Linked DNA regions of Mus musculus. The protein of the gene in region 1 interacts with the protein of each later gene in a pairwise test. Links are inferred from orthologs where the notes say so. Each region holds a gene or a part of one and is shown in the gene's direction. Other genes may lie near its edges.

What was found.
Region 2: the proteins of Eml1 (region 1) and Isg20l2 interact in binary tests that used the Homo sapiens proteins (3 or more experiments, as listed by UniProt). The two-hybrid records come from large-scale screens. The link is inferred for Mus musculus from reciprocal best matches to the Homo sapiens genes EML1 and ISG20L2.

The regions. Positions count from the first base shown.
Region 1 is NC_000078.6:108,506,236-108,510,049, forward strand, and holds part of Eml1 (echinoderm microtubule-associated protein-like 1), read left to right. Parts: intron 1-243; coding exon 244-373; intron 374-2,850; coding exon 2,851-3,000; intron 3,001-3,814. UniProt on the Homo sapiens protein: Modulates the assembly and organization of the microtubule cytoskeleton, and probably plays a role in regulating the orientation of the mitotic spindle and the orientation of the plane of cell division.
Region 2 is NC_000069.6:87,928,645-87,932,558, forward strand, and holds the start of Isg20l2 (interferon-stimulated 20 kDa exonuclease-like 2), read left to right. Parts: upstream 1-1,669; 5' UTR 1,670-1,799; coding exon of another isoform or gene 1,800-1,923; 5' UTR 1,924-1,967; exon of another isoform or gene 1,968-2,075; intron 2,076-2,686; 5' UTR 2,687-2,839; coding exon 2,840-3,631; intron 3,632-3,914. Other genes in the region: protein RRNAD1, read right to left, coding at 1,212-1,322. UniProt on the Homo sapiens protein: 3'-> 5'-exoribonuclease involved in ribosome biogenesis in the processing of the 12S pre-rRNA. Displays a strong specificity for a 3'-end containing a free hydroxyl group.

The DNA.
Region 1 (3,814 bases):
CAGATTCTGAACCTTGTGGGATGGAAGCCAAAAACCAACTCCCAAAAGTCACTCTTTGAGCATCACAAGTGTCATGTGACTCCTGTACCAATCAACACGTTAGATAAATAAATGCATCTTTAAAAAAAAATGTAAGGTGCACAAGGGAGACGGCCACTGTGTGCCCTACAAGCTAACCAGACTGTGGTGTTTGCTTTCGGAGCGCCCCGAGGCATGTCACTGACACCTTCACTGTTTTTGTAGAAGAAGGATATGTAAAAATGTTTCTTCGAGGCCGTCCGGTCACCATGTACATGCCCAAAGACCAAGTGGATTCGTACAGTTTGGAAGCAAAAGCTGAGTTACCAACGAAGCGGCTGAAACTGGAGTGGGTGTATCCTTTACTGGCCAACCAGACTGTCAGGGAAGGCTCCTGGTAAAAGACTTATAAAAGTTAAATATTTTACTATTAGCTGTTTAAAAAGTCAAAATTTCAGATGTGGCCATGTAGGAGAGGCAGCTTCAGAGCAAGTTCCCATGATTGTGGTTCCCGTTCGAATGCGTACCCACTGTCTTCCTGAAAGGACGCCATGGAAACAATCTTTGTACAGATGGATGGATTGGGGGCCAGGGGAATATGAGTGTCTGGCCTGCCTGTCACAGAGAAGCAGCAAGCTTAGTGAAAATCATTAAAATTGGTGTCTTAGTCAGGGTTTGTATTCCTGCACAAACATCATGACTAAGAAGCAAGTTGGGGAGGAAAGGGTTTATTCAGCTTACACTCCCACACTGCTGTTCATCACCAAAGGAAGTCAGGACAGGAACTCACACAGGGCAGGAACTTGGAGGCAGGAGCTGATGGAGGGATATTTCTTACTGACTTGCTTCCCCTGGCTTGCTCAGCCTGCTTTCATATAGAACCCAGGACTACCAGCCCAGGGATGGCTCCACCCACAATGGGTTAGGCCCTCCCTCCTTGATCACTAATTGAGAAAGTGCCTTACAGCTGGAAATCTCGGAGGCATTTCCTCAAGGGAGGCTCCTTTCTCTGTGCTAACTCCAGTGTCAAGTTGCCACACAAAACCAGCCAAAACAAGCTGGGGTGGTGTCGCATGCCTTTAATCCCAGCACTTGGGAGGCAGAGGCAGGCAGATTTCTGAGTTCGAGGCTAGCCTGGTCTACAAAGTGAGTTCCAGGACAGCCAGGGCTACACAGAGAAACCCTGTCTCAAAAAACCAAAACCAGCCAGTACAATTGGGTAAATGTCAGGACTCTAATGATCATAATTTCAACAAACCAACCACTTGTTTTTTTGAAACAGGGTCTTCCTATGAACCTAGCCTTTAACTCACAGCAATGCTTCTGCCTCACTCTCCTGAATGCTGGGGTTATAGGTATGAGCTTACGCTCCCCTAAAGAGCTAGTGGTCAGTCTCTGTTGTTCAATGCTGTATTCATTTCCACCATGGAGGAAGGCTGCAGCAGCCTTTCCCACCTACCAAGACTCTACATCAAGTTTATAGTGATTGTCTGCCACTCAAGGAATAAAGTCGAGCTCTGAAGACAATCCCGACATGTTGATTTAAGTTGGTGCTGCCGAGCCTTCGCTGACAAGAATTAGTATTTGAGATGGTGGAATCATATTCATGGAAATCAAAAGATTAGAAGTTGTTTGGCCATCTATTTTGGCTCATGCCGTGGTAGGGGATCTGCCTCTTCTTTAAATTGAGTAGTTTTAAAAATCTAATCTGGAAAATGTTATTCAAAGAATGCTTCCTTATTTGTGTTTTAAAAGACTCGAAACAAGAAAATTTGCTCCAAATAAATGGCATTTTGGCAGGGTTTTTTTTTTTTTCACTCAAGTTTAAGTAACACTTTGCTCTTTTAAAGTACACATGTGAAAATTTTTAACACTAGGTCAATGAGAAGGCTCAGTGGCTAAAGGTACCTGCTAACAAGCCTGAAGCCCTGCGTTCAGTTTCCAGGATCCACTTGATGGGAGGAGAGGGCCAACTCCTGCAAACTAATCCTCTGACTTCACTTGTACACAGGCCCCTGTGCCCCTGTGCTCTTGCATGCACACACAATAAATAAGGTGTAATAAAATTTAAAACCATTGATAATTATCCCCAAAATTCTGGGGCACCATTAGTTAATTCATTAACTTAATTAACAGTTACAGGTTAATTAATTTTGAAACCTTTGTTACATTTGAGTGACATTTGTATTCTTTATAAGTACTTGTATCATTTCAAAGTGATGTTTAATAAAAAGATTTAGCTCCTAGATTGCAGACAGTAAAAGCTGTTTGGCTCAATAGCTTCTAAAAATCAAAAAAGTCTTCATTTTAAAAAAAATGTTCATACCAGACCTGGTGTGTAGCCAGACATGTCTGTGACTCCAGAGCAAGGGAGGTTGAGGCAGGAAGATCTGAGCTAAAGCCAGCCTGAGCTACCCCGTGATCACCTGCCTCAAGCACAGCCTGAGAGCATTTGCCTAACACGGGAAAAGCCCTGGGTTCAATTCCCAGCACTGCAAAATGTTGTGTTCATATTATTACAGAGCACTTAAAATTTGTCTTTAGGTATGTAGGTACTGAGGTCCACTGGGCACTGAGTGTCAGAATCTATTTAATTTTGCTGTTGTTTGAGACATGGCCTCTCTCACCATGCAGCCCCAGCTGGCCTGGAGCTCACAGAGATCTGTTTAGGCTCACAAGCACGCGCCACTGCACCCAGCACGTTCTCAGTTCAGCGTTGTCTAAATTGGTTAAACTGATAGCACCATTTCACAGCATCTTTGGGCCTGTTGAATGAAGCGGTAGTTCTCCAGCTCTTAAAAGCAAAGGATTTTCATCTTGACATACACTAAGCTACGGGTACCGGGGGCGAGACTGTCGCAATAACTTGTACTTGCTCCCGACCGGGGAGACCGTGTACTTCATTGCGTCTGTCGTGGTGCTTTACAATGTGGAGGAGCAGCTGCAGAGGCATTACGCGGGCCACAACGATGACGTCAAGTGGTGAGTCCCCACAGACAGGTCGGCAGGACATAGGTGAACTAGCCTTAGCCAAAAGAATTCAGCATCAGGGCACAAGCCAGGGGTGGGGTGGTGCAGGGCTCTGAAGGTGCAAAGCTCTTCTTTCTATTCGCCGTGTTGTCTTTGGGCTCCCTAATTCTGCTCTCTGTGCTTCTATGTGACCAGATTATCTGAGGGAAAAAGCTTCAGGAAGCTTTCTTAACATCCTGAATGTTAAAGACTTCAAATTGGGTCTCTAAGTTTAGAAAAACGTGCTTTGTGTGCAATGGCAGTGGTGGGCGGGGCCTGGGTGGTGGGCGGGGCCGGGCCGGGGCGCAGTAATTTAAAAAAAGAAAAAGAAAAATTTATAAAGTTTAAGAAAAAAAGTTTAGGCCGGGCGTGGTGGCACACACCTTTAATCCCAGCACTCGGGAGGCAGAGGCAAGCAGATTTCTGAGTTCGAGGCCAGACTGGTCTACAGAGTGAGTTCCAGGACAGCCAGGGCTATACAGAGAAACCCTGCCTCGAAAAATGAAAACGTGCTTTGCTGTGTACATAGGTCTGAGTCTGGCATGCCTATGGATCATAGTATAGCTTAGGGAAGACCTTGCAGTGGGTAGATGGGTTTGTGGTCCTACTGACATGAGACGTCTTTCCTAATTAACACACCCAAAAATGACTTGTAGAAAAGGGTGGCGACTAAGTCAGTGGTTCTGAGAAGGAAATGCTATTTTCCCAACAAAGGATGCCTTTCCTTAAGGTTGGAAGTTCCCGAAAGGAAATCGGGCATTCTGATGAATGAAATAGCATTTGCTGG
Region 2 (3,914 bases), on another chromosome or scaffold:
TGTTCTTTTAAAATTCTGGGGCTGTGGGGGCCAGGTATGGTGTCTATTATTAAAGGATCCCAGCACTCAGGTGGCAAAGGCCAGAATATCTCCATGAGATATTTCAACATAGTGAGTACCCATCTGAAAATAATGAACTAATTAAGGAGCAATTAAAAGCCTTGTTAGGAAGCCGGGCGTGGGCGTGGTGGCGCATGCCTTTAATCCCAGCACTCCAGAGGCAGAGGCAGGTGGATTTCTGAGTTCGAGGCCAGTCTGGTCTACAAAGTGAGTTCCAGGACAGCCAGGGCTATACAGAGAAACCCTGTCTCGAAAAAACAAAAAACAAACAAACAAAAATGCTTTTAACCACATAGCCATCTTGTTAGTCCTAGACAAACATTTACCCTAAAACAGCGGTTCTCAACCTGTAGGTTGGGACCTCTTTGGGGGTTCACACTTCAGCTATCCCGCATATCAGGTATTTACGATTCATAACAGTAGTAAAATTACAGTTACAGAGTAGCAACAAAAGATACTTTTATAGTTGGAGATCACAACATGAGGAACTGTACTAAATGGATGGATGTAGGATCACGAAGGTTGAGAATCACCCCACCCACAAGCCTTGCTGGTGCTCTTCTGTGTGTGTGGGGGGGAGTTGGGGGGAAATGAGACATGTCTCAACACTCGTTAAGCTGGCTGCAAGTCAAGACAATTCTGCCTTAGTCTTCTGAGGGGCGAGATTACAGAAAGGTAACTTTATGTATGTCTGCCCTGTTTTGTTTCCCTCCCCTCCTTTTTTAAAGTAACATCGTCCAGTCCAGGCTGCCCTAGAACTTGTTTTGTAGCCCAGGGGAACCTTTTACTCCCGATTCTCCTGCATCTACTTCTTAGGTGACAGGATTACAAGGGTACACCACATTTGGCCAAGCACTTCCTCTTCCCCAACCCACTCTTTATTGCCTTTAGTGGAGGATATCCTATGGAACATCTCGTTTCTCGTATGTTTCTATGCAACTGTAGCATGGCCAAATGTTGGTTGTGGGGTTTCAAATGAAACAAACAAAACTTAAGTATTAGAGTCAGAAGGCTGGGTGAAAAGTATTCTAGTAGTCAACGCGTTCCTTATTAGGAAGAGATAAAAGCTGTCTCCACATTTTCTCTGCAGTGGGCTCCTATTCACCCCCCGCCCCCCAAGAAGCACCCCGCCCTCAGCCCGGTGGCCTCACGATGATGTAGGCGTCCAGGATGGAACGGTAGTGAGCTAGGACGCGGGTGAGGTCCACAGCCAGTTGCCTTCTCTCCTCATGCGAGAGGCCATGGGCTGAAACGCCCCGCATCCTGTGGCGTGAAATGTCGGTGCAAGGAGGGAGGAGGTGAGGAGACACAAGGTCGGTACCACGAAACCATGCAACCCAAACCGGACTCAATTCTGCACGCCCGACGCAAAGCAAGAACTCCGAACCCGCCCGACGACACCTCTCAGGGCGATCCCGTCCTATTACAAATCCTTAGAACAAGGCGCACTTGCCCAACGTCACGACTTCCACTGGGCCAAGCCATTTGCGCAGCCGCAGGGGACTCGGAGACGTCACAGAAGCGCGCCCAGCACCAGCTTACGGCGAGGGGGTCAGCTGCAGGTCCCACCCTCCCTCCCGGAAGTGGGACCACGGTTCCGGCGCACTCTGTTCCGCTTCCCGCGGCCCACCACCTTCGAGTTGTACCTCCACGGGGCCCGAGGGGCCGGGGAGCGCATCCCGCCCCCGCCCCCACCCACGCCGCCGCCGCCGCCACCGCCGTTCCCGCTGCTCACGCACTCCGAGTCGCTGGCCTCGCTGCCTGAGGTGGGGGCGCTGCGGGCGCGTGCGCGCCGGCCGCCTTCCCGTTGTCGCCCGCGTTCTTGCCGTCCCGGCATACGTCGGCGCGCGCCTGCGCCTGCATCCGGCTTCGGACGCTTGCGATCTTAGTGGGGAACCAACTTGGAGGTAGGTGTATAGGGTGTTCGGGAATAGTTCGTGGATCGTCAAGAATGTGGTGGCCGAGGTGGCTGGCCCTCCACTGTGTCCTTACTGTGGGAGACAGGTAAGGTATGTGAGGAGATCGCCCCCACGTGGAGCCGAGGGAGCGCGACACCTGGATTTGGTCTTCATTTCGTAGCACGCTGAGAATTCCTGGGTGATCCAGAGGGTATTTGTGTTGTTTCTTCTCACCACTGGTACTTAAAAGTCTCATCTGACGCCCTTGTTTTGACTTCATAGACATGATAGAGTCGATCTCCGTGGGTCCCACATCTTTTTATCCGCAGCCTCAGCACCCTCATTTTATGTAATTAGATTTATTATTTGTCTGAGTGTTTTGTTTGTATTTATGTATGTGTATCGTTTAATTGCCCGGGGCCTGCAGAGATCGGAAGGCATCTAGTTTTTTCTGAAGCTGGAGGTACAGATGCTGTGAACTACTACAACGTGGGTGCCTGGAACTGAACTTAATATCTCTGCGAGAGCAACAAGGTTATAACTACTAAGGCGTTTCTCCAGCCCCAGCATCTTTAGTTTTTAAAATGGCACAGAGATCCGGAGAAGGGAAATAACCCTTTTAAGACCAACCTAAAGGTGAATTGTGGAGGCTTCAGTAGTTAGCCGGGCTTTGGGGCTTGTGGAAGTTATCACTTATGTCTTCCAGAACTGATCTTCTTTTCTCTCAGGCCTATGGTGCGGGAATCAGGATTACTTTGTCCCCAAGGCTGATTGCAGACCTCCACATGTTGAACTATGGGATTCCACAGAGGATGAGCCTCTCATCCTTTTGCTATCAGTGAGCCATTCTTCCCAGCTTCCTCCCACCATCCACTGATCTCATGTCTACCATACTCCTGAATTTAGACTTTGGGCAACCTTCGAAAAAGGCATTTGGAGGAAATGCCAAACATCAACGCTTTGTCAAGAAGCGAAGGTTCTTGGAACAGAAAGGATTTCTGAATAAAAAGAACCAACCCCCTAACAAGGTGTCTAAGTTGAACTCAGAACCTCCAAAGAAAGGGGAAACTTCAAGAGTAGATGGCATTTTGAAGATCCTTCCATGCCCAAAGAAGAAAGAGGCAGCTGCCTCCAAGAGGGACTCAGAGCAGTCCAAAGACAAGAAAGCACCATTGTCTTGGCTGACCCCTGCTCCTTCAAAGAAGACTGCTTCTGTTGTGTCTAAAATAGATTTGCTAGGGGAGTTTCAGAGTGCCCTTCCAAAGACTAAGAGCACCCAGAAGAAGGGCTCCAAGAAGAAGTCCTTGAAAAAGAAAATTGCTACAGAGAACTCCACCCAAGCTCAGTCAAAGGATAAAGGCTCCAAGAAGAAGCCCTTGAAGAAAAATGCTGTACCGAACTCCACCCAAGCTCGTTCTGAAGATAAGTGCCCTACAGTCCCCCAAAACTTGCCAGGGAAGATGGTGGCAATAGACTGTGAAATGGTGGGCACAGGACCCAAGGGACGCGTTAGTTCCCTGGCTCGATGCAGCATTGTAAATTACAATGGTGATGTGCTGTACGATGAGTACGTCCTCCCCCCCTGCTACATCGTCAACTACCGGACCAGATGGAGTGGCATCCGGAAGTGCCACATGGTTAACGCTACACCCTTTAAGACTGCTCGGAGTCAGGTGAGGAGCGTGGGTCGAGACAGTAGAGAGAGGTCTGGAGAGGACTTTCAGCAAGTGATATTCTGGGGAGGTGTCAAAGGATGGTAAAGGGAGGGAGAATAATGTCACGTGATTAGGAAGGCTTCCTATTGGAGTAAGGATTAGTTTCTTTTTTACATGGATCCTACCACCTCAGTTGACCCAATCTGAAAGCTCACAGACATGCTCAACTTTGCCTTCTAGTATAATTCTATTAAGTAGACAGTTGTGTCACAAGTCCATCCCTGTCAACTTATGACCAAAC